Arabidopsis thaliana: one gene and its partners. The protein of the gene in region 4 interacts with the protein of the main gene of each other region in a pairwise test. Each region holds a gene or a part of one and is shown on either strand. Other genes may lie near its edges. The genes, in order: GIS, NFXL1, AT4G37850 and bZIP52.

What was found.
Region 1: the proteins of bZIP52 (region 4) and GIS interact in a two-hybrid assay, tested with the Arabidopsis thaliana proteins (one large-scale study listed by BioGRID).
Region 2: the proteins of bZIP52 (region 4) and NFXL1 interact in a two-hybrid assay, tested with the Arabidopsis thaliana proteins (one large-scale study listed by BioGRID).
Region 3: the proteins of bZIP52 (region 4) and AT4G37850 interact in a two-hybrid assay, tested with the Arabidopsis thaliana proteins (one large-scale study listed by BioGRID).

Annotation. Positions count from the first base shown.
Region 1 is NC_003074.8:21,505,010-21,510,103, forward strand, and holds GIS (C2H2 and C2HC zinc fingers superfamily protein), read right to left. Parts: upstream 2,731-5,094; 5' UTR 2,598-2,730; coding exon 1,836-2,597; 3' UTR 1,563-1,835; downstream 1-1,562. UniProt on the Arabidopsis thaliana protein: Probable transcription factor required for the initiation of inflorescence trichomes in response to gibberellin (GA). Mediates the induction of GL1 expression by GA in inflorescence organs and is antagonized in its action by the DELLA repressor GAI.
Region 2 is NC_003070.9:3,332,418-3,340,717, forward strand, and holds NFXL1 (NF-X-like 1), read right to left. Parts: upstream 5,668-8,300; 5' UTR 5,528-5,667; intron 5,142-5,527; 5' UTR 5,075-5,141; coding exon 1,520-5,074; coding exon of another isoform or gene 1,508-1,519; exon of another isoform or gene 1,447-1,507; coding exon 1,372-1,446; 3' UTR 1,178-1,371; downstream 1-1,177. Other genes in the region: AT1G10180 (LOW protein: exocyst complex component-like protein), read right to left, coding at 5,964-6,231, 6,322-6,458, 6,630-6,818, 6,905-7,411, 7,495-8,300. UniProt on the Arabidopsis thaliana protein: Mediates E2-dependent ubiquitination. Confers resistance to osmotic stress such as high salinity. Promotes H(2)O(2) production. Negative regulator of some defense-related genes via an salicylic acid (SA)-dependent signaling pathway.
Region 3 is NC_003075.7:17,794,611-17,800,028, forward strand, and holds AT4G37850 (basic helix-loop-helix (bHLH) DNA-binding superfamily protein), read right to left. Parts: upstream 3,292-5,418; 5' UTR 3,251-3,291; intron 3,095-3,250; exon of another isoform or gene 3,057-3,094; 5' UTR 3,038-3,056; coding exon 3,002-3,037; intron 2,895-3,001; coding exon 2,391-2,894; intron 2,293-2,390; coding exon 1,921-2,292; intron 1,827-1,920; coding exon 1,752-1,826; 3' UTR 1,462-1,751; downstream 1-1,461.
Region 4 is NC_003070.9:2,102,670-2,108,144, reverse strand, and holds bZIP52 (basic leucine-zipper 52), read right to left. Parts: upstream 3,098-5,475; 5' UTR 2,913-3,097; coding exon 2,452-2,912; intron 2,372-2,451; coding exon 2,239-2,371; coding exon of another isoform or gene 2,137-2,238; intron 2,128-2,136; coding exon 2,043-2,127; intron 1,962-2,042; coding exon 1,627-1,961; 3' UTR 1,396-1,626; downstream 1-1,395. Other genes in the region: AT1G06840 (Leucine-rich repeat protein kinase family protein), read left to right, coding at 4,937-5,048, 5,187-5,337, 5,421-5,475.

The DNA of each region.
Region 1 (5,094 bases), on a different chromosome or scaffold from region 4:
TATAATTCCCAACTAGTATTGTTTGTTTGTAGCTGAGGAACTGTTCCTGGAGGTCAGATACGTCTTTTAATTCTTTTCTGTATTTTTGTTTTGTTACTACTCTTGGTGACAATTGAAACATCCTTATTGCAAAATTTATGTTGAAACGTGTCCATAAAATTTATCTGAAAAACCTTATCACTTCCCTTATGATCTACAGGCTGAAGTTGCACCATCTGTTCCCTTCCCTGTTTAACTGATGGAGACTGTTCCGCTACTAAAGTCTCCAGGTCCGAAAATAGCAACGTCGCTATCTGCATGAGCCTCTCAAACTTATCTATAGCTTTAGGTTGGTGTCACTGATATTGCTAATGTTAGTTATATCTTAGCCATACCGTGTTTAAATACAATTATTTTGATAGACAAAAAGTACAAGCAAGAGTTTTTGCGATGTTGCATCTACCTGCATTTTCTCAATAAAGTGTCCAAAGATGTCGTTTTGGCATGTCATTTTCCATTTCCTTTCATAGGAGACTTGATTGAATCAGATTAGTTGATTTCTAAAAGAAACCATATATATGTAACCATCACCATGTTGTTGCATAGTGCATTATATTGGTGGAGGTTGTGAATTAATGCTTGTGATATTCTTTGATTAAAGTCTTGTCAAATGTGGAAACTCGTATGTTCTTCTGGATCAAAGTCCTAGCTACGTTGTCATCTATATTTATGTTTTGATTTGATAGTTTAACATAAAAATAAAATAAAATAAACTACATGGTTAATTAGGTACAAGGATTTTCCCATGTTTTGTCTTGAAAACCATTTCGGGTCATTGACATTCTCTGATATCATTAGTAGTTTTGTATTTGTCCTTTTGAATGCAACAGGACCAACCCGTCATAATCAATCTCGTGGCATCTGTTAATTGGAGTTTACGGTATGTGAATCACAACTTTTTTCAAGTTCATTGATTGAGATATATATAGACTATAGAGGCTGTTGTCTTGTTGGTATTCTTTGGATTACCTAAAAGAAAAGTTAAGAAATAAACACAAAAGTAGAAAGCTTGAGGAATTTTGCTTTGCTTTAGCTCCTTCTTTATGTTCTTACTCGAAATTGCAAGTTACGAGAATAGTAATTACATTAAGTACAGATGAGAAATCTCTATCGTAAACTCTACATCTGTGTGTTTATGGACCACTTCACTCACTTTGTTTCTCTCTATACCCTTTTGTCTTGTCCATTGTCTTCACTTACCCACACGCACCAAATTATCATCATTGGCATCATCTAAAATTATTACCTAGCTACTTATTACCCATCTTGAGTTTTATTTGTTTCAAGGAGATGGCGATGAGTACAGTGTCCATTAGATTCGTTTCAAACCCTCGTAAAAAGATTTGTACTCGAGAGGTTTAATTTTTGTTTTTGTATTTGTTACTTGTTAGTTCCGTACAGTAAAGATTCTATCATTTTATCGTTGAAATTCTATCTGAGTCACTGTGCGGTTATAGTTAAATACCCTAGTAACTAGTAAGCACTGCTATGAGTCTATTACTGACAATTTCCCTGAACCAAAACGATAGTGTTCGAAGCTATATTAAATGTGGACACGTAAATTCATAAATTCCCTTCCTTCATTCAAGCACGTATGGGTAAAAAAAGAAAGATCGATGCCGTGAATCTTACACATCGTGCCGTTTCTTACCTTACAAAACATTCAATAAGGGAATAGGTATAGATAATAAGAAGTCTAATCGTTAAAGATTACGTAATATTCAATAACTTAGGTTGTTTTTTCTTGCACTAAGTTACATAACACTCAATAAGAGTTTTATTTTGTTTTCAAATCTTTAAAGATGAAGATCGAGACTCACATGATCTTGCACGTTAGGGCTCAATCCGTAACCGTACGATGACATTCTGTTCTGAGCAGCGGAGCCACCCACTTGCGATGATAGTTGAGTTTGAGAACGGGTCAACAACGGTAAAGTCGAATTAGAAGAAGAAGAAGAGCCATTACTAGTAAACGCTGCGTTTGAGTTATAAACGCCTTGAACGCGAGGCGGTAGACGCCATAGTCCTAACTGACTCCCATAGCTGGGTCGTGTATAATACCCCGACGGCTTAGGACCAGAAGAAAATCCTCCATAGGACCTAGCCGCGGTTAACGGACCATTGGTCCACGACGGGTAATGACGGTAACTGTAAGGGTTATTGTCAGGATGATAAAAGTAAGAGGAAACACCGCGTTTGGCAAGCTGACGTTCGCGTTTGTGAGCGTTTTGGTGTCCACCTAGGGCTTGTGAAGTAGGAAAATTTCTAAAGCAATAGTGACACTCGAATCTCCTGTTGTGGCTGATGCTATTATTGTCCGTACTGTTGTCTCCGGTTTGGTCTTCTTCCTCTTCTTCTTCTTTGTTTTTGGTCTGGTAAGGATCGGTGTAGTCTTCTTGACCGGTAGTAATAGAGAAATCTCTGCCGGTGAAATCTTTTCCGAAGACACGAATGGGTTTAGGGTTCTTATCTTTAGGACGGCGAATGAAAGGAAGCTGAGAGAAGGATTCGACGTTCATGAAATCTTGAGTTTCTGTTTCTCCGGTAGCCTCGTCCATAGAGAGAGAGTCAGAGAGATAAAAAGACTGGGCGATATATAGAGTTATGAGGCTTTAGAGAGATAGATAAACATTTATATAAAACTGATTGGTTCTTATTTTTTATGGCAATTCATTAAATTTTCTATTTGTTGTATGTCAGAAAGGTTGATTGATAGCTTCTAATTATCAAAGAGCTAAAGAAAGGTTGATAGCTTATCCTTGGTCTCTTAAGACTTAAGAATGATGAACGGATTGAATATAATATTATATGTAAAAGTCGCAATATTATTCACTAACGGTGTGGAATTAATTGTGTTAGATTGTATCGGATGAAGATTATGGATCTATAATGCATGATCTATGATAGATGCTTAGACAGACGCAAGGTTGTTGGAGGTTAAATTATTGACTTCGATTATATATATATACACGAATACATAACATAAAAGCTTCGTATTCATATTTTGATAAATTACTAATTAAGTATATAGTTTTCTCCGAGAAAATGTACTTCTCCATATTCATATTTTGGTTTTTCTAATTTACATAGTGGATGGGTGGCATTTTCGTAAATATGGTAGTTTATTTTGTGTAATTTTATCTGGTACACAATACTTTCTGAAAAAATACTTTTTTTTTTTTTGACAAACTCTGAAAAATTACTAGTTCACGAAAATGCCACTGTTTTTTTGCTAAATTTGGTCACAATGAAATAGGTCCTTGAACAAAATGCAATAAATTAGTTTTTTTTTGTATATATTCATTTCCCCAACAAACTTCCTTCAAAACCATTGTTCCGCCTGGTTCCTGTGATATCTACTTTTGTTTCTTATTAAATTCCCACAAGTGCTTTTCCAAATAGTGCACTTAATTAATATATAGGACTTACGATTTTTTTCAATTCCAATTTCATTGAGATTTTCAGTTTTTCGATTTTAAAAGAAATTCTATAGCTTTCTCAACCTAATCTAGGTAGTACATATAATATGTAACATATTAGTTAGTTTGGTACAGTTTTCTTTTCGATACTAATAATTTAAGTTTTTGATCAAATTGGTTTTTATTAAAAGAATTAATCATGTCTTGTCTCGGTTCCGTTAATCTTTACCTTTTCTGATTCATATGGATTAGATTCTTTAAGGATCTATTTGCCCACGGGATCTTGATCATGAAACAAATTTTTGTGATGTCGTCGCTCTTCTAAAACTCTTGGACAACCTTTGATCTAAATAAATGAAAGACCCGTTTCAATTTATTTTTTAAAAACAATTGTAAAAAATAAACAATACTGTAGTAATGAAACAGACACGTACAACATTTATGGAGCAGAAAATGGGTCATGGTAAAATTTATGATAAGTAACTAAAAAAAATCTAAAACTAGGTGAAAGTTATCAGGGAATTGGGTTCATTACGAACGTACGTGGGGGTCGGTGTGTACTCACTGATCACACATGTACCCGGATGTTACTATTTATATAGTTCGAAGAGAATTCTCTTTTAGGGACCAGCTTTTACTTCTTTCATTTCTCTTTTCTTGGTTTACTGAACTCTTGACTCATTCCCCCGGCTCATAGAAATTCGGTTTTCTTTTTTGCCATAAAAGTGTGTGCAAAAAAAAAAAAAAAAAAAAAAGTGACACAGTTGAGGGGAATCGATTCCAAGCCTTAATCTAAAAAGAATCTTCTATAAATGATACGAACCCTTATGACGAAAAGAAAATAAAGCAACTTCGATTTTAAAAATACTTAAATTTAAATATCGGTTTAGATATCCCAAAGCACACAACAATAATAAGGTCATCTTAATAGCAAACTAAACGAGAAAGCAAAATTTTCATCGCCTTCATGTGACAAGAATTATAAAAACAATAACATCACATAAAAAAATTCTTTTATTACATAAATTATAAAATATATAAAGTATAAACAAATGCGCCAGTTTAGTCTACATCGAGAGCATAAGCATGAATACAAGAGAAGATTGCTAGTACATCCAGCAAACCACATCAAAATGTATACTTTATAAAATTTCAAGAGAACCAAACAACTTGTGCAACAACACCATTTGATTGCATAGATCCGATTTGTGACCCATGTAGCTGCGAGCAGAGAAAGTATCTCGGTGGGCTTTAGCTGTTGAATAGAAACCGTAAATAACAGTGTTCCTTTAGATTAATGTGAGGTAGACTAAGATGACACGTGTTGGTGAAGAGATTGAATAAGGTTTTAGTCTAGAGCTTTAAAGGTCTAATCAATTTATGTACTTTGGCATTATAATCAAACTGAAACCTCTTCTAAAGCAATATCTACGACAATGTTACATATATATATATATATATATATATTATAGTTTTATAGTTTGTTGGGGGACATCTAAAAGTTTGTTTAGTTTTTCAGTTTCCACTTTTAATAATTTTTGGCATTAAATTAGTTTGTCTAGCCATTAATATAAACTTAACATCATTTAATTACATAATTGAAAAATTTTGAACTTGAAACTAGAACTTCTTTTGC
Region 2 (8,300 bases), 1.2 Mb from region 4:
TGATCATGGGCCTCTCCTTCACCTGACTGGTCCTGCTGGTCCTCTCTTAGCCGGCCTGCCTTTAAATTCGGTTGTCAGAGATGCTCTCCGCGATGATACCTGGAGGATCTCTTCTAGTAGAAGCCGCAATCCGGTAATCACTTTGCTTCAACGAGTTCTTCCTTCTGCTGCGAGTCTAATTGATTGTCCGCATGATGATACTTACCTTTGGAAAATTGGTCATCATGCACCGTCAAATAGATTCTCTACAGCGGACACTTGGAGCTACCTTCAGCCCTCTAGTACTTCAGTTCTGTGGCATAAGGCGGTTTGGTTTAAGGATCATGTTCCGAAACAAGCTTTCATCTGTTGGGTTGTGGCCCACAACAGATTACACACTAGGGACCGGTTAAGGAGATGGGGCTTCTCTATCCCGCCCACTTGTGTTCTGTGTAATGACCTTGATGAGTCTAGGGAACACCTTTTCTTTCGGTGTCAGTTTAGCTCAGAGATTTGGAGCTTCTTCATGAGAGCCTTAAACCTCAATCCGCCTCCTCAGTTTATGCACTGTCTGCTTTGGACCTTGACTGCTTCTCGAGACAGGAACATCACGCTCATCACCAAGCTCCTTTTCCACGCTTCTGTCTATTTCATTTGGCGTGAGCGCAATCTTCGCATTCACTCAAATTCTGTTAGACCAGCTCATTTGATCATCAAGGAAATTCAGCTTATCGTTAGGGCTAGGTTGGACCCTCTGTCTCGGTCTTCCCGCGTCGTCTCTCAGCCAGGCTCTTCTCTTCTTGCCTCGTGGTTTGGAGTGTTTCAGCGTTCACCTGTCTCTGGTTAATGTGGAGTTTATTTTGCAGGTCCTCTGTTGGCTCAGCGTTGTTCTCCTTTTGTTTTGCTGAGATCTTGTCGTCCTTGGGTTCTCTCTGGGCCTCGTCGCTGGGATTCAGGTTCTCGGTTTTTTCTTGTTCTGTTAGTTGTTGGGCCTGCGTGCCTTCTCTGGGCCTGCGTGCCTGTTGTATGGCCTTCTAAGCCTTGTAACCTTTTTCGTTTTATTGGAAATTTATGAAAAAAAAAAAAAAAAAAAAAAAAAAAAGAATATGACACATAAAAGAGTTTTTTTTTCACTATTCCTAATGATTTCAGCACCTAACCGTTAATTGCAGAGGAGAAAATGATTTCAAGATAAAGAGTACTAATGAATGAATAACCAACCTTAGTGTTGCATCATTATGTCAAGAATAAAAGAGAAAAAAAAAAGCGTTACAAACATGCCGTTTCACAATAACTGAAGTTACTGAACAATGGGATGTTTTTTTAGTTACTACATAAATAAACCAAACGCACGCCAAAGATGCCAAAACAAAAACGGCACGTCGTTGGCTATCACCTAAGCTTTGAAATGGACTCATCACAGCATACGCACACGCATACAGTCTCCATTATATACGTCTGAACAATCTGCCGTTTTCATACATCACAAAGAAGTTGAAAACCAATCACAGTCGTTGGGTATATGCTCTCACTCACATACCTTCTCCCAGTCATCCACCACTTCTTCACCGGAGCCTTCCACCGGTTGTTTACCGGTAGTTTTTGAACTACTGCTCTCTTCTATCTGAGCAATTGGCTCCAAAGTGGATGTGCTGGCCTTCTTGGGCTCTAAAACACTCCAACGGTTAACCGAGGTAACAATTGGAGAGTTGCTCTTTGCTGATCTCAGCGCAGAGGCTTGAGCATCTGTAGATGATCCTCCAATGGGGGAATCTTCAGCTCCCCAGGAGTCATCACTCTCCTGAATCACAGCTCTCCTCCATGGATTTCCTTTGTCAACATCCCACGCCGAGCTGCCAGGTAATTTTCCCCATACATTATTAAGTGATGGAGATTGCCCGCCGCTCTGGACAACCACAGCTCCATGATATACTGAACCGTGCTCAAGCCTCCTCATGGCAGTGGCAGCTCGGGCATGGTCGTGGAACACCGCTAAAGCATTCTTGTCATTCAGCCAAACAAGCTCACATTCACCCCCAAATCTCAGTACCAAGGCGCTGATATTCGCCTCTCTCGGAAGATCCAGAAAAGAAACCACAAGTCCAGGATCCATATCCACCAGCGAATCATAGAACGGTGGGTGTGGCCCTCCTATCGAGATAGCACCACCCCTAGCTCCAATGATCCTTGTTGGCGGTTTCGATTTTGCTGTTACGTGAACCACTGTAAACCGTTTTGGCTCCCACCCTGCGTTGCTAACACCAAGTTTCCACCTCTCAGCTATAAGTCGAACCGTGTCTCGTTTATCCTTCTGCATCGGGCAGAAGATATGGACCTTAAGGGCACTTGTGCTTCCTCTTGCTTTCCCAAGTACCAAGAACTTGCAGCGCTCTTCAACAGCCAGTACCCACTTTGGATCACGCCTATAAAGGTCTGAAATAATCTCTGTCATAGCAGAATTCTCGCTGAAATGTAATGCCTCCAGATTTGGGGGAGTTATATCAAATGCATCTTGAAGAACCCGCTTACGCTCCAGCTTCGCACACTCATCATCACACGAAAGCTTTCTCTGCCCGAGGGGGATACGGTTTCCGCTCGATTCAACAGGCTGAAGTGGAGCTGGAAGCTTCTGTAAAACAGAGGCTTCATCATAGGCCGCACAGTAAACATTAGAACCGTTGGCACTTCTTCCCCCAGCATCACAAGGGACCGTAGCGGTTATACGACCACATGAACAAGTAATTGTGACTGAAAATTCACATCTTAGGTCAGGGCAAGGCGCAGAAGGATGGCAGAGTGCTGCACAAGTGTGTCTGCAATCTGTTCTAGGAGCACCACATTTCTGTCTACACGTAACACGCATACCTGCTTCAGATTCATTGAAGCTGTCACAAGGCTCCGGGTGACAAGTTCTGGCACAAGCATGCATGCCACAACGCCTCGTCTTTCCACAAATCTTGGTACATCTAATGTCTTTCAACCCACAGGGTATGTTTCTGAGAACCACATGACCACCAACGCACTTCTTTTCCACAGGGGTAGAACAAGGAGGACAATCTCCAAAATGGCATCCATGCGTATCAGAATGGCCACAAGGCTGAGGAATCGGGCATGGAAGCTGACAGCTAGGAACAGGTGTCCCACATGATAGTGGAGGAGGAATCGAAGTTCTTCCACAAGCACATGTAAGATCAGTGAAGATCATCTCGAGACAAGGAGGGCAATGTCCACTGTGACATAAAGATTCACAGGAATGCTGCCCACACCTTAGCTTCTTCTGACAAGGTATTTGGCAGACATGTGGGTCCCAATCGCCAGATAAATCATTCTTCTTCCCGTTCAAGAGAGGGCAGCAACGCTCGCTACATCTATGTCTCCCACAGTTCTTCTTACGTCCACATGGCTTAGCGCACACAAACTTCTCTGCCTCTGAGGAAGTTGTTATGTAGCATTCCACAGCCCTGGATGTTGACCCACACCGGCATTTCTGGTTAACTTGGACTAAACAAGGCGGGCAATCACCTGCATGGCACATCTCATTGCAAGTATGTAACCTACAAGGAAGAAGCTTCCTACATACATTTGAACAAGAAGGAATTGGGTCCAAGCAACTCTGCCTGATCTGTTCTTCTAAACGCGTATTCCCACAATAGCATGTCTTAACTCTACTGGGCAGTAAGTCACAGTCCCCGCAAGGTCCAGGATGGCATACCTCGGAACAGAAATGATTACCACATCCAAGAGGCTTCCCACAGTTAAAACTGCATGAATAGACACCATCTTCTGCTTTCAATTCCCCCTTCACATTCATATCACCGCAAATGACAGTCTCCACTTTTTTCTTGCAGAAACATGTGGCATTTACCAGTACCTGACAAGGATCACAAGGGCCAACATGACATGTCCTTTCACATTGATGACGCCCGCAACTAAGAAGCTTATCGCAACGCTGCCCACAAACAAGATCAGATCTCCGCTCGGAGCATCTAGTAGTAACCATCTTTTTCCCACAAGGACAGCTACGAGGTGGAGCAAAGGCTTTACAGGGAGGACATGGACCAGGATGACACTGCAAAACACATACATGAGGACAAAGATCCTCTTCAGTCGTCTCAGCAGGTGCAAACTCTTTCTCCAGCGGTTTCCCACATGGTTCCCCGCATGAGTGTGGAGTGAGATATGGGTCAGACGGTGGATCTCTTCTCTTTCCACAAAAGCACCGATAGGAAATCTCTTTAGATGATGTCAACTGTACAGATTGGCAACCTGGACATCTCCAGTTATCACCTTGGTTTTTCTCAGCTAGCAAATCAACTGAAGTTGGTGCTCGAGCCCACCTCTTGATACAGTTGATATGGAAGATGGAATAACAGCTGGAGCATGACCAGATATTGGCAGACCTCCCAACCTTGTCATAACAAATCATACACTCAATAGAACTCTTGACAAGCTTCTCCTGTAACTCTTGAACAAGTTGAGGCAAGTTTGGGTCTGTCAACACAACATTCTCCTCCTTCGCTACCCTTTTCCCCTGATTCACAGGCCGCGTCCTAGATGCAACTCTTTGGCGATTATCTGGCAGAGTTCCAGAAGCATTATTCCTTCTTTGTCGATTAGGTGGAGGTGGACCAATGTTATCACTCCTTTGGTGCTGGTTCTCAGGAGCATTATTTCTTCTATGTCGATAAGGTTGAGGTGGACCACTGTTATCACTCCTTTGATGCTGGTTATCAGGCGCATTATATCTTCTATGTTGATTAGGTTGAGGTGGACCAATGTTATCACTCCTTTGATGCTGGTTATCAGGCGCATTATATCTTCTATGTTGATTAGGTGGAGGTGGACCAATGTTACTACTCCTTTGGTGGTGGTTATAGGACGGAGGACCAGAAGCGTTATGCTGCCTTTGCAGATAAACAGGACGGGATGCAGAACCAGCATCAAGGGTTTCAGAATTTCTATCTGTATTAGGAGGAAGCAAAGGCTCATTTACCACCACGCTCGAGGTAGATGAGTTTCTAGGAATCCACGTTTGCTGATGATTGAATCGATGAGACCTATCATCGCTCCTATCTCGCCTGACTTGAAAGCTCATATTCTGCCTTGACTCCACAAACACAGAACTAGATCCTGTACCCGTCACTGTTGGAGCAATGGTGCTTCTGTACAAAAAGAAAAGCAAATGAGAAACATTCAGATTCTAGCAATGTCAAACATTGATGGCCCAGATAAATTCACCACACACGAAAATACGAGCAAACCAATCTACGTAACAATAAAATCTTACACAGCTACAACGATGTTGAAATTAACTAAAGCCAAATCAAACGAATCGAAAATTGATAGCAAGACGCCTAAACTATTCCTCCTTCTTTGGGATCTAAAAAAGGGGGTAAAATCAAAGTGCCCTATTTTATCATATCTAAGAAATTTTGGTGACCAACACCAACCAACACACAAATTTTGGCTTCGATATTGCTGAATCAAAGAGAACGATAAAACAAATGATTAGAAGCTCACAACCAAAGAGGGGGAAAAAGTTTGGTACCTGACAAGAATATACGAAAGCGTATAAAGAAGGAAACAATCGCCGGAAGAATCAAATACGCAGGAGATTCCGATTAGTCTCCCTTGTTTTCTCAGGGAGAGAGAGAAAGAGACTGTAGGAGAAAATGGAGCGATGAGGAAGATTATATATAGCGACTGAAAGTGATAGACCGCCTTGCTCCCAAAGGAAATAAAAGATAGAGAGAGAGAGTCGCGTACGACTTTTCTTTTTCACCGGCTTGTCTGAATTATTTTATGCTTGACAAACCCTCAAGAACCGCCTCATCCCTAATGGGCTAACAATGGGCCTATACTAATTGACTTAAACCAATCTAAACCAGTAATTTAATTTGCAGATGATTTCGGTTAACTTTATATATATTAACTTGAGAGTTTTGAGAGACTTGACTACAGGATACAAACTACAAAGAAAGTGGTCAAGACTCAGAATCGGTGAAAGATGGACTCTCTAGGTCAGCCATGCTTGCAGAGGCAAATGACTCGAACGAGTCCACTGTGGAGAGTGAAGATGTATCTTCGGAATCTGAGTCGTCATCCATCTCAGGGAGGACGATGTGATGATCGTCTTCTTCTTCTTCTTCACACTCATATTCTTCCGGTTCTGAAGCATCCTCAGACCCCATGAGTAGCCTGTTGATAGCTGACTTGGCGGCTTCTGTGAACCACTCTGTCTTCGGGAGTGAGCTGGTGAAAGAGAATAATACACTTTTTAGGTAATTCGTTATGTTGAGACCGAGTTGGAAGAAAATTCAAAAAGAGTGTTGTTTCAATTACCTTTGTGGGTTGATGCCTCTTTCCGAGAATATGTTGATGGCTCGATTGATCACCACTGATGCATGGTTCTGAACTACTTTAAATGGATAACCTGCAAACCTGGCTATCTCCACTGTGAAGTTCATGTCGAGGATCAACTGCAACACGTGACAACAAAACTTCAACTTTCAACCCCAATCTTCTCAAGAAATGAACTTCAACATCAAGTTTCAATTGTTTCCCATTTCAAATTTTCAATCTTTGACTGCTGAGCCTGAGATCAGAGAATAGCTGAGGTATATAAGAGTGGTGAAAGAGAGTGTTTCTACCTGTTGCAATCCAGATGGCTGAAGTGGATTTGACTCGTCCTCGAATGCACTCCAAAACTCCTGCTCGTTTGATAGCCAGATTATAACCGTCTCTGTTAATCTCGCTAGTAGAATCTTTTGCAGCTTCTCTTTACCAAGCAGAACATCCCCAGCAATTATGGCCAACTGTTGTAGCTTAGAAAACAATGCCTGCATAAGAACAGACACAGATGATTCTGTGTGCTAAAACTTATAAACTGGGAACTATAAAACTAGATCAAAGAAGAGGGCGAGACCTGAAACGGTAAAGACGGCAGATGCAAGTCATCTGGTGTTTCGGTTAAATAAATGAGTGCGTCTAATCGCGTTAGTCCTTCCCTAGAGTAGATGAAGCTCAAGACAAACTGCAGACAGAAGTAGTTTCTGAGTTTGTCAAATGCTTGAACCATATGGCGTTTCCATTCTTTCAGTTCCGGTGCAGCACTACTGTTTAGAGCGGCACTATTCTCACCTTCTCCTCCGCCATTTTCAATCTGGAGTTTCCAGACTTTAACAAGTGATCTTGGTAAAAGTTCGTCAAGTATTGTAAACGCAGCTCCAAGAAGCGCAAGCTGCTCAGAATCTGTCTCAGCTCTAGCGAGTACGGTATTATCTTGGAGCTCAGGTAGACCATCCTCATCTGAATGGCCAGGCAAGGCTTTGATCAGAAAGTCGATGTATTTATCATATAGTTGCAATATCCTCGTTAGTACACTCTCACCAAAGTGTAACACAACTAGGTGTGTTAACTGCTCAAGTATGTCCTGAAAGAACAAATAAAGCTTCTATAAATTTATGCCAACAGAATCAAAGAAAATAGTAAGATCAGTGTTCAAAATCAACTTACTTGCACAATTTGCATGAATCGAATGCTACAATCAGTCATCATAGTATCTGAAGCGATAGCGAATTCAGATAATATTGTCACAAAGTCAGAGGGTGATTCCAAGCCCTCATCAGTTTCATTCAAGTCAAAGATAACCCTTCGAGCCCGTCTAAAATTCAACTCCAACACTTCTTCAACATAAGGTCGGAACAGCACCAAAAATAGCTTAGACAGAAATAAGCCTTGTGGTTCCAACACTTTGCAATAGTTAAGACAATCTTGAAGACATATACTGGCTGCCCGCAATGCAGAAGCTGTTTCGGAAGGAGAAGCGTTTTCTTTAACCAACCGCACCAAATATTCAACTTCCCTCTCTGCCCATTGAACAACTTTGTTGGAATATGCGGGATTATCATCGTCACCAAACATGGCTGCGGATTCTTTTGTAGCCACTGAGATGTTAGAGAAAACAAGCTTAGAGAGAGTAGCAGGAAACGTGTTTGGGCAAGTCAAACATGAAGGGAGAAAGGCCTCGATTCTTCTGCGGAGGCTTGTGGCGTAAAACTTTAGAAGCAATTGGTGAGCTGAAGGTCCTTTTCCAAGTCTGATTAACCCAATCAATGCATGCTTCAATTCAGCTACACAAATCGAGGGTTGTTTAGCGATCCTAAGGAGCTGATCCTCAAGAACCGCCTTTCTTTCCATAAAGGCAGACTTGTAAGAAGACATCTCGACTGATCCTTTAAGATCTGGACTGCTTCTTTCCTCAGCATCCATTGCCTCCAGTGCTTCATCCACTTTATGTTCAGCCAAAAGAAGGTCAATTT
Region 3 (5,418 bases), on a different chromosome or scaffold from region 4:
CGTATTTGTAAGGAAGCTGCTTATTTATTTGTTGTATTTTTTTTTTTGTCTTTTTGCACGGAATAAATAAAAGTAATGAGAAGTACTGGAGAAAAGTTTTAATCAAGATAGTTTTGTTTTAAATATAAAAAGACAGGAAGGAGAGTTGACGAAAACAAATGACGAAACAAAAAATAGGTGAGTTGTCGCGTCAATGATAGAAACATTTAGGTTTTGACAGCGACCCAAATTCCATGATACATGTGTTGTACTTGTATACTAAAAACTTTTACATTAGCTATCTGCTATTATATCTTACACTGCTATTTACAGTTGTATTTATCAAGGAGCGCTCTACTAAAATACCACTTATGAAGTTGTTATTCCTAAGGATATATCATAATTATAAAAAATCCTAGATATAGACAAAGTTTTTGAAATGTTCTTAGAGGAAATGAATGGTAGGAAGGTGTCAAAATTTTCGATGCCATTTTGGGAAAAAGAAATACTTTATTGTTTTGAAAATCAATTCATAAGTTTGTTAATTTGAACATAAGAATATTCAGGACATGTACGTCAATTTATATCCACCCCAATGGGGTTAGATCGCTTAAAGGCAACTATGGTTAGTTTGGACTTTTGAAACGTATAAATCGTTTTCTCTTTTTATTTCAAACTAGTAATAGTAGAAAGTAATAAGTTAGCGATTAATTGGCACATATATGTCGTATAAAAAGATAACTAAACATTTGAACCAAACAAAAGATAACTAAACATCAATTTCTAATTTCTAATTGGCACTATATCCAGGTGCAAAACGTCTGAATCGTGTATATATAATAAATCTGGAGCTAGATTCACATAATCTTCACTGGATCATATTATCATAAATACCCTTTTTTGTCTAGTTCCGTTGCAATAATATGTAATATATATATTATATATACACGATTCAGACGTTTTGCACCTGGATATAGTGTTTGTATATATGCATATGTACACATATTATCTATTGTTTTGTGAAATGTGAAACCATAATTGTTCATTTTTCGCATTGCGGATATAATATTTTTATTATAGCTGAAAGAAAGAGAAGGATAGTTATCCACTTTCCGAATCCACGATTTGTCCAACTTTGTTAGTATCCTATGATTATCCTTGTTGTTCTCTAACACGGAAGGAAAGACTTGGTCGTCATGCCGCATTCCTTGCCTTGATTATCCAAGTGATAATTTTTTTTTTTATTATGATTTTCTGAATCTAGAATGTCTTGGACTGGGTACTTTGTTGTATTTGACAGTGCTAATTTACCATATGTTACTTTGAATTCAAATTACTCTTACTCATAATGACAGTAATCAATCAAATTCAATATAAATTGCTCTAAATTTTTGTGCACCAATAACTTGCTCTAACTCCTCCCAAAAAATTATTACTACAAACTTTAGTGATTTGGTATAAGATTGAACAGACTTACAAAATATAAACCATATAATACAAATACATAAACGGAAGTGCTTTACATCTTTGGAAACAGCAATATAATACATAAAGGGGGAAAGAACCAAATAGAGAAAAAAAGAGAAGTGAATTTTCAACTAATTTAATCTTATTTATATATAGAATTATAGATAATTAACAGATAAGAAAACCTCCAATCAAACTTATAAAAAAAAAAAAACATTTTCATGGCAAACCACTTATGTTTCGTCCATGTGTTCAACAAGATCTCCCACAGTAGAAATTGACGAGAAGCATGAAAGTTAATACAATCATATGAAATTCGACAAAGCAGACCTTAAGCTCTTTACAACATCCATGAGTGTCATGTCGAAATCACTCTCCTTCTGAAAAATAAACATCAAGCGATGTTACTCTAAAATTAAGAACAAGTTCTTCATTTATATGTATAAGTGTATGCCTGAATATACATTTGCATACCTTAGCTATAATGGTGATATCAAGAGTTGGTCCAAAATTCAATACACTTGAATTAGTTATCAAGATATGAAGTTTCTCAATCTCGGCCATAATCTTGGCAAGATGACCCTTTTGCTTCTCGCAAAGGATCTTGATTAGAACATCTTCATCCGAGAATCTTACCTCGATCTCGGGAAGATCCAAGTCCGAGAAGCCATCTTCACAAGAAGAAGAGAATGATTGATTATTATCGTCCAAGATCAGCTTAGACTTCTTCACAAGAACCATTGATTCCAATCTTCTTTCTTTCTTCTGTTCCTCCAACTCTCCCACTCTTTCTTGGAGATACTTTATATGCTTTAATGCATCTCCCAACACAGAAGCCTTGTCCATCTATGCACGCAATTAGAAAAAAATTACACCTATAGATTCAAAAACATGTATTTTTTTGAAAAAGGTAATCAAGAAGGAAGATCTGATGGTATGTATACCTTTTTAAGGCCAGGAACTAGAGCGGAAAGAGCTACGAATCTTTGAGTAAGCTTCTCTCTACGTTTTCTTTCGGCTATTATGTGATCCTGAGCATTGGATTGGTTTCTTGAAAACGGTTGAGCCCTCTTGGTCCCTTTTCGATTAAACTCATCACTCTTCTGGTGTGGTTGCACTTGAGCCTCTAATTTTGGGCTAAAGATTGAGTTTAGGTAGGTGGGAGAGTACTCGTGTTCCATATCATTTGAACCATAATCTTCGAAAGAGAGAATTCTTGAGGAAGAATGACGGTGAATATGATGGGGCTTTGAATTTGGAGGAAGATGAGAAGAAGGTGATATGTAAGTTGTCTCAAGGATCTTTGGTGGTTTCATTTCGATCAAATCATCATAAGAGGGATCATTGTTGGTCGTGAAAGAGTGTGGAAAAATGTATTGAGCTTCTTGGACCTCTCCCACTATTGAGTTCATGTGAAACTGTTGAATTATGCTATTTTCTTCTATTTCCTAAAATATAACATCACACCCAAAAGAAAAAAGAACAAAAAACAATGAAAAACAGTCCCAGATGACAACATATATACATGAGTGTATGTGTTTATGCGCATATATACCTGCTCAGAAAACCATCTTGTGGATAAGATACTCATTGCTGTTGCCTCTGAAAATCTGAAAATGGTAAAAAGAATATTAGTGTATGATTTATAAACAAGAAACTGTATTTAACCAAGAAAAAAGATAAATTAGCAGATCATCTTGGGTTTCAAATACAAGATTTGACGTATAGTAAAAACCCAAGATCAAGAAACATTTAGTAAGGGTTGAGATTTATGTTTTTTGAATCACAAAGAAATAAAACTCACCAGCTTCTAGGAGAAGAGAGAGAGAGAAGAGAGATTTGTGTGTGAAAACAGTGGAATGCACATGCATATATGTACATGTATATATAGAGATGGACACACATATGAAGTAATTTGCACGTGTGAAAGGCAATACTACTCAACTTTCACACTAAAAATATTCCTTTTTTCTCACAGCATTTGGGTGTCAAAACTAATTAATTATATTATAGATTGTTTTATATTTGTCAAATTTCACAGGTTGTTCAAAGTTACTCATTGACGTATACAGTATTTTGAGGTCCTATTTGAATGAATATAAAAATGTTGCGGGCCGGAGACAAAAAGGGTATTCGTCTATTGAATATATCAGGTTTTTGAGTTTATATTATTAAGTGTATTTTTAGGGTTTCTTCTTAGAAACAAAAAAAATCGCCTCAATTTTTATTTTGTTTTGATATATGTTTACTCATCTTGTTTCCCTTGGTTTTATTTTTAAAAAAATATTAGTTTCTCCATAAATACATTTTTCAAAATGCATCCAAATTTGACATGAATTTATGTATCAGGTGTGGTATGCGAATATGAAACCAATTAAAAATCAAAACTGTTCAAAAAAATATTTTCTAACATCATATAAAAATATTAAACCTTATGACGCGCATCAAAATGTTGTTGGCCAATTGTAAAAACATTTGTATATAGAAAGCTTGTATTCAAATTCTGCTATTATTACTGAGTAATAAACTTATATATATAGTCAAGTAATTTATACTAAAGTGTCCTTCACTCACTATCTGAATATGTATGTTGTTGAAGAACCAATAAAAGGAAAGCATTCATGATTAATTTTCATAAATTTCTTATGATAAGCGAACTTATGATAAGCAAAAATAGACAGAAGATGACAGGAAACTTTCCATAATCAAATTGTGGGTCCAATTGAATATAATCTAATACATATTCCCATTAGTTTTATACTTTTCTCTTGTAAACTAAAAATGTGACACCAACCAAAGATCTCGCTACGATTTTATGGTATATTATATGGTATTGGTTACGACATTAATTATTTCCACGAATTTTCTTTTTTTCAAGAAAATTGTAAATTCAACAATAAAAAAAAGATTAAAGTATGATTTGAATTTAACCATTGGCGTTCTCTTCTAAAAGCTCTCATCTTTTATACACAGTTTGATTAAATGTGTGAATCACCATGACTGTCAAAGACGTTCGATTATGAACAAACAAAATCACAAAAGTTTATATTTTATTCAATCAGAATATTCAAACATTATACTACAAGTGATCGACACTAAGATAATTTTTACTTTCCTGGAACTCATGTGTCTTGTGTCTTGTGCAAACGTGCTACTCTTAATATATAATCGATTAGGTAAAAATAATCAATCAAACATGAAACTCTTTTATGTAAAGTTGATATTTTAAGTCAAGTATTTGTCGGAATTGTTGAACTTCATAGAAATGGTAAGCTAGGTAAACAAAATATACTTGGGATATTATAATCTAAGTACTAAAATAGAAATAAAAGCCAGTTCACTTACAACTAGATCTCTCCCTCTTTTCCTCCATTACTACGCCCCATGACAGAAGCATCTTGGCGCCTGCAAACCAAATTCAGTGTTTTACAAATCTCCATAAAAATTTAATACTAAATCCCTCGAATTTTATATTTTTATATAGTATTTCATTTCTCAAGATCTAAATACTAAATTAACTATAATATTATCATGAGTATATTTTACTCTATAGTATAAAATGTGATAGAGTATATATACAGTACATTGTACACATTTACAAATAGACGATTATTTTGTTTCTATCTTTTTCTTCTTTCTCTTTCACTCTCTCTCTCAAGAGTTTGTTACAGAAGATTGAAGATTCCTGATATGGTATCAAAGCATCTAAATATTTAACAGTTTTCTGGATCTATATCACTATATTACTATATCACATCACCAAGACAGTACATCCCATGAAATATAAGCATCTTGGCTCTTGCAAACAAAATTTAGTGTATTTTTTTTACTTCTGCATAAAAAAAAAAATCTGATAAGTTGGCGTCAAAAATAAAAATAAATAATAATTAATATTAGGGGCCCTTATATTATTCCTTTTCTAAAGCTCCAAGTACACATACATGATGATTAGGTTGTTAATTTTAAAATCTT
Region 4 (5,475 bases):
CCATTTTGATATCCCTATAATACATGGTAGACATGTAGTTATGAACTAGAGACGTAACAAGGTAAAGGCTCTGGGACCGGGCGCAGGAGTGTGTATGTGGAAAACTATAAAGAAAGTGAATGACCGCAGCACATACGTCATCTCTCTCTTAAGGTTCGCCCGAAGCTTCGTTGATATTTCTTAATTAATCAGTATTATCTTTAAATAATTAGTCGTTAACTTAGTTGGGTTGAGTTTGACCACAACCTAATTAACAAAATGGATTCTGTTTCGTTTTTTTTTCTTTTAGCCAAACACTAATCTCTCGTTGTCTTCCCAAATGCTTCTATTTAATCAAATATTTATATTGTGCTCAAGATACATCGAGGCTTCATACGGATTAGAATTTGTCTATCGGCATGTTTTGTTTTGTTTTTTCATTTTTTGGCATAGTTTTGTGGGGGCAATTTACTTGTTGAACCCTAGTTTACATGTATTCTCTTGAATTTCTCACAATTTTCTCAAATTTCGATTTCATAGAAAGTTAGAAACAAACACTCACAATTCACAAATTCCCACTGGCAAAAGATGAAAAAGCCCAAAAAATAAAATTACGTATCGCCATCAAATAGGGCCTATTGGTTTAAATGTGGTTTTATTGTATATCAGATATTAAAACAAAACAATTGTCATCAAAGCACCAGTGGTCTAGTGGTAGAATAGTACCCTGCCACGGTACAGACCCGGGTTCGATTCCCGGCTGGTGCATGAGCTGTGAAGAAATTGGCTTTAGCATTGGTTGGGTCCAATGCATTCTACTGAATATCAGTTGATATTGCCCCATTCTGAGCTCTCTCCTTTTTTTTTTGGAAGTTATTTTGCGAAATAGACCGAGCTTCTCCAAGGACGTCCACAGTCCAGAGAGTAGATGTTTCGTCTGATAACATGGTAACAATGTTCTAAACTCTCCACGTTCTTATTGTTATGCATGTTCTATTGTTCTTGCTAGCTCAGTTTGGAAAGGTTGGAACTTTTGTTGGTTCTCTCCAACAATGGGTCTTTGCTTAAAGGTTGAATCGTGTTAGATGTCTTTCAAAGGTCGAATATTTTCGTTAACAGTCTTACAGAGTCTCAAAAACTAATCTCTCAATGCTTCGTCTCTCATTTCAACTCCGACTCCAAGTTTGGGAAATTTTGTCTCATGGAGAAGTCCGGTTGGGAGAAGTTGTCTCAAAACTCTAATGGGATGACGGATGTGAGGGTGTCTTGGAGAAGAAGCTACTGAGGAACTGCCTTGGTGTTGTCGTATCAAAATCATTGATCCCAAAATCAAACTATTAACCCAATTGGAATGAACTTATTAAACATCTCCATCTCCTAGTAAAATAAAACAAAACGTAGCAAACATCATTGTATACAAAAGAAAAATGAAATTTATTAGTCTCCTTTGTTCCTTGAAGAACAAACAATGGGAATAGCAAACAACGAAACTCACGACACATAACCAACACAAATGTATACGTACGTCCTTTCTTGCACAATGGCACCTCAAAAAAAAGAAAGAATAAATAATCAAAAGTGAATCAAATGAATTGAAAAAAAAAAAAACCTATTAACAGAAAAATGAGCCTCATCATAATCTTGTCGTCAATAGGCAGAGCTACTCTCACTAGCAGAGAGAGAAGGTCCTTCAGATTTGACTAAGCTTGAGCTATTGCTACTAATCTCCAGCCCTTGCATTCGGCCGTTCTGTAGAAAGTCCGACACGCTTTGAGAATTGGACATCTCCATAGGATTGAAACTAGAATGCATCTGCATATCATGGAGGTTCATTGAGCCATGATATGGTGGAATAGCCATGAAAGTTGAGGAAGAATACTGAATCTGCTGCATTCCCATATCAAACGAATCTGAATTACCAGAGATTTCTCCTGTCTCCATCTTCATCCTTTCAACTTCTTTCCTCAACGCTTCGTTTAAAGCTGTAACATCAAAAAGCAAATATTGAAGAAATGCACCAAAATGCATACAAAGAAATTAGCTTCTTTTTTTTTTGTGCTTACCATTACGAAGCTGAGCTTGTTGTTCCATTGCTTGCAACCTAAGTTTCAGCTCTGTGTTTTCGTTTGCTAGTCCATTTGTGTCTCTCTGGATCAATCAAAACAACATTGAAATCAAGATCTGTCTATGTATGTAAAACAGAGGAAAGAACTTTCCTATTCTGTTGGGATCAAACGAGGAATCGCCGAATATGGAAACCTGGTAGAGAGTAAGCTGAGCAGAGAGAGTGGTAGCTTCGGTTTGAAGAGATTGAACTTTGCGCTCAAGTTCTTGAATGTATCGAGCTTTTCTCTCTTTGGATCGAGCTGCAGATTGTCGATTCGCTAGAATCCTGTAATCAAATCCCTAATTTCATTGCAATTCTTCAATTCTGTGGAAAGAGAAACAAATTTGAAGAAGAAGAAGAAGGACCTTTTGGCGCGTTTGGGATCGATGTTCCAAAGCTCAGAGAGTTTTTCAGGAGGCATAGCTTTCTTAGCGTCCATGATATCACCGGCATACATGGCGCATCCAGCGTCAACGGAATTGCTGTGACGGTGGCGAGGACGAGAGGAAGGAGGAGGAGGAGGATTAGCAGCGCCGGAAACGGAGTTGGAGGAGAGGGAAGGATTTTGAAAGGGATTGGGATTAGAGGTGAGGCTATCGACATCGATGAAAGAAGAGAAGAGATCGTCGTCGGAGGGAAGGTCGTCGGAGGAAGGTGGTGCGGCGGAGGAGAGGGGATCCATGAACATGAACATGGACATATCGTCGGAGCGAGATCGGCGGTGGAAGGAAGAAGATGGAATCGGATCGGCATTAGGAATTGGATCGGAGGAGGGGATAATAGTGGCGCCGGGCTTTGGGACTGGTGGAGGATCTGATTTCTCCATTTTTTTAAGAGAATCTGAGAGATGAATGCTTTGGTTGTGTGAATAATTATGATTATTATTCGCAATTGAGAACAATGTCAATGGAGATAATGATGGAGATGAAGAAGACGAAGCTCTTTCTCTCTCTCTCTCTCTCTCTCTCTCTCTATCAAATGAAATGAAATGAAGAGCGTAGGAGAGAAACTCGACTCTGTGAGGAGAGAGAAGTGACGTCACTAACTATAAAATTGCGAAATTGAGTTGATTTATTAATAATTAAAAAGAAAACTAGTTGATGAAAAGTAAAAGGCACATTGGCACGTGAACCATCGCAGCATCTTGTCTCCCTCCCTTTTTTTTTTATTTTTTTTTCCTTTTTCTTTGTATTTTATTTAATTATTCGATTTCATGATTTAAATTTGTTTAACTTTAAATCTTCTTTGTAGCATTCATTACAAGATTCTGTAGTTGCTTCAACGAAATTTATTAATTTAAGCTGTTATGGCATTACATCTCCCCACGTCTGAGTGTATATTTTTGTATCTTTGAGTCAAAATTTTAACAAGTAAAAAATAGGCAGAAAGCCTTGTATGAACTGAGAGTCTGAGAGAATGTTTTGTGGGATAATAAGTTGGTAACTTGGTATGGAACTATCTATGGATTGGGAAACAAGTAAAATTCACTTATAGTGAAAAATACTTATTGGTTGGATCTAAATCATACGGAGGCCTTAATTATCAGGCCCATACAAGAAGACAAGTATTGTTTTGTTTTAAGAAATCCTCGAGCATATAATGCGCCTGTAGTGGACAGGAGGATGTTTTGGGCCTTCTCTTAAATTGGCAATTGGGCATCACTTTGTTTACCGGTCAAAATAATTAAAAAGATGGTCGTATTGATCGCTTTAAGTAATAAGTTTTTTAGTTAAGTCTCTCTAAATTGTCTTAAACGCAAGTAGTGGACCGGCATCATTTAATAGTGATTCAAATTAAAAACCTAATGATGCTTACTTTTACCAGCTAAAGTTTCTTTTGTCTTTTTTTTTTTTGTTTTATTATTATTTATCAACATACTTGTGAATTGTGATTCTCCCTTTTTTTATATATAAATAATGAACATACTTAAGATATAGTTTCTCCCATTTATTGTCACCTAACGGGTATTTTTTAAAACCAAATTCTGTTGGAAAGTTCTTCTCTAAACATAAATAATATATAGCTCATGTCTATGCTTTTTAATAGTGCCCATTGTATTTCTTTTCTTATTTGAGTAATTTATTCCAGCTGTTTCTTTTTTTTCCCTCTCGTAATGATACGACATAGTGACATACATCTTCTGTTTCTTCTTTTTTTGTTCAAGAAAATCATAATGACTACAGGTAATTAATCACACTTCTACAAATCAGTTGATAATCAGCACCATTTTCCAATAAAAGTCGATACTTTGGAAAATTTCGTGACTTTTAGTATCGTGGGGGCCAAAATGCACATAAAGATACGATATCGATGACCAAATTGCCATATACTATATGATTCCAATATACCAATGATTGCTACTATTTGCTAATGGTATACGTTTTTAAATTTTAATTAATACATAAAAAAAAAATCAAGGTGGGATAAAAAGGTAACTTTATTGACAATATTTGGAAATTCATCGCACCTGGCAAGAGATTTACCTACTGTCATTAAAAAAGGATTAAAAAAACGACAAAAAGGTCAAAGACAGGTCAGACAAGGAATCATTAAACAAAGGAAGAAAAATAGCAAGTAGAATGGTTTTGACGGAAGAAGGTGGTGAAGTTATGGCGGCGGCGCAACGGAAACTTATGATGACGCTCTTCCGTCGGTCTCATCCATTACCTGAAATAGTCAAACTTAGAAAATGTCGTATTATCACTCTTCAATGCTCCCACCCAATACCAACTACTTTCCTCTTTCTTTGTCTTGTGTTTCTTACTTGGTCATGGCCTTTTCCTTCTAAACTCTCTCTCTCTCGAGATTTCGTTTTTTCCTTGGGTCTCCTCTGTTTCCTCCTCTCTCGATATGTTTTCGACCCATCATGTCTCTCGTCTCCTCATACCTCTGCTCTTCTTCTTCCTCTTCTGTTGCTTTTCTTCTACTTTTGCTCAAGACGACATCACCAATCCCGTTGAAGGTTTCTTTTTTGTTGTTGTTGTTGTTAAAAGGCTTTGTCTTTGGTGTTAGATCTTCAGACAATTTGTGTCTGTGACAATGGGTTTTCTTAGCTTTCGACTGATTTGGTACTGATCATTGATGTTTTTTTTGGTTTTAGTGAGGGCTTTGCGAGTGATCAAAGAAAGTTTGAACGATCCTGTTCATAGATTGAGAAATTGGAAGCATGGAGACCCGTGCAATTCGAATTGGACTGGTGTTGTCTGCTTCAACTCCACTCTTGATGATGGTTATCTTCATGTCAGCGAATTGTATTGTCTTCTTCACTCTTGCTTTTTTCTTTTATTTGGTCTTCCTTGAGATTTGTTTGAGTTAGCTTTGTTTATACTTGTAGGCAATTGTTCAGTATGAATCTCTCAGGGAACTTGTCTCCGGAGCTTGGCCGGTTG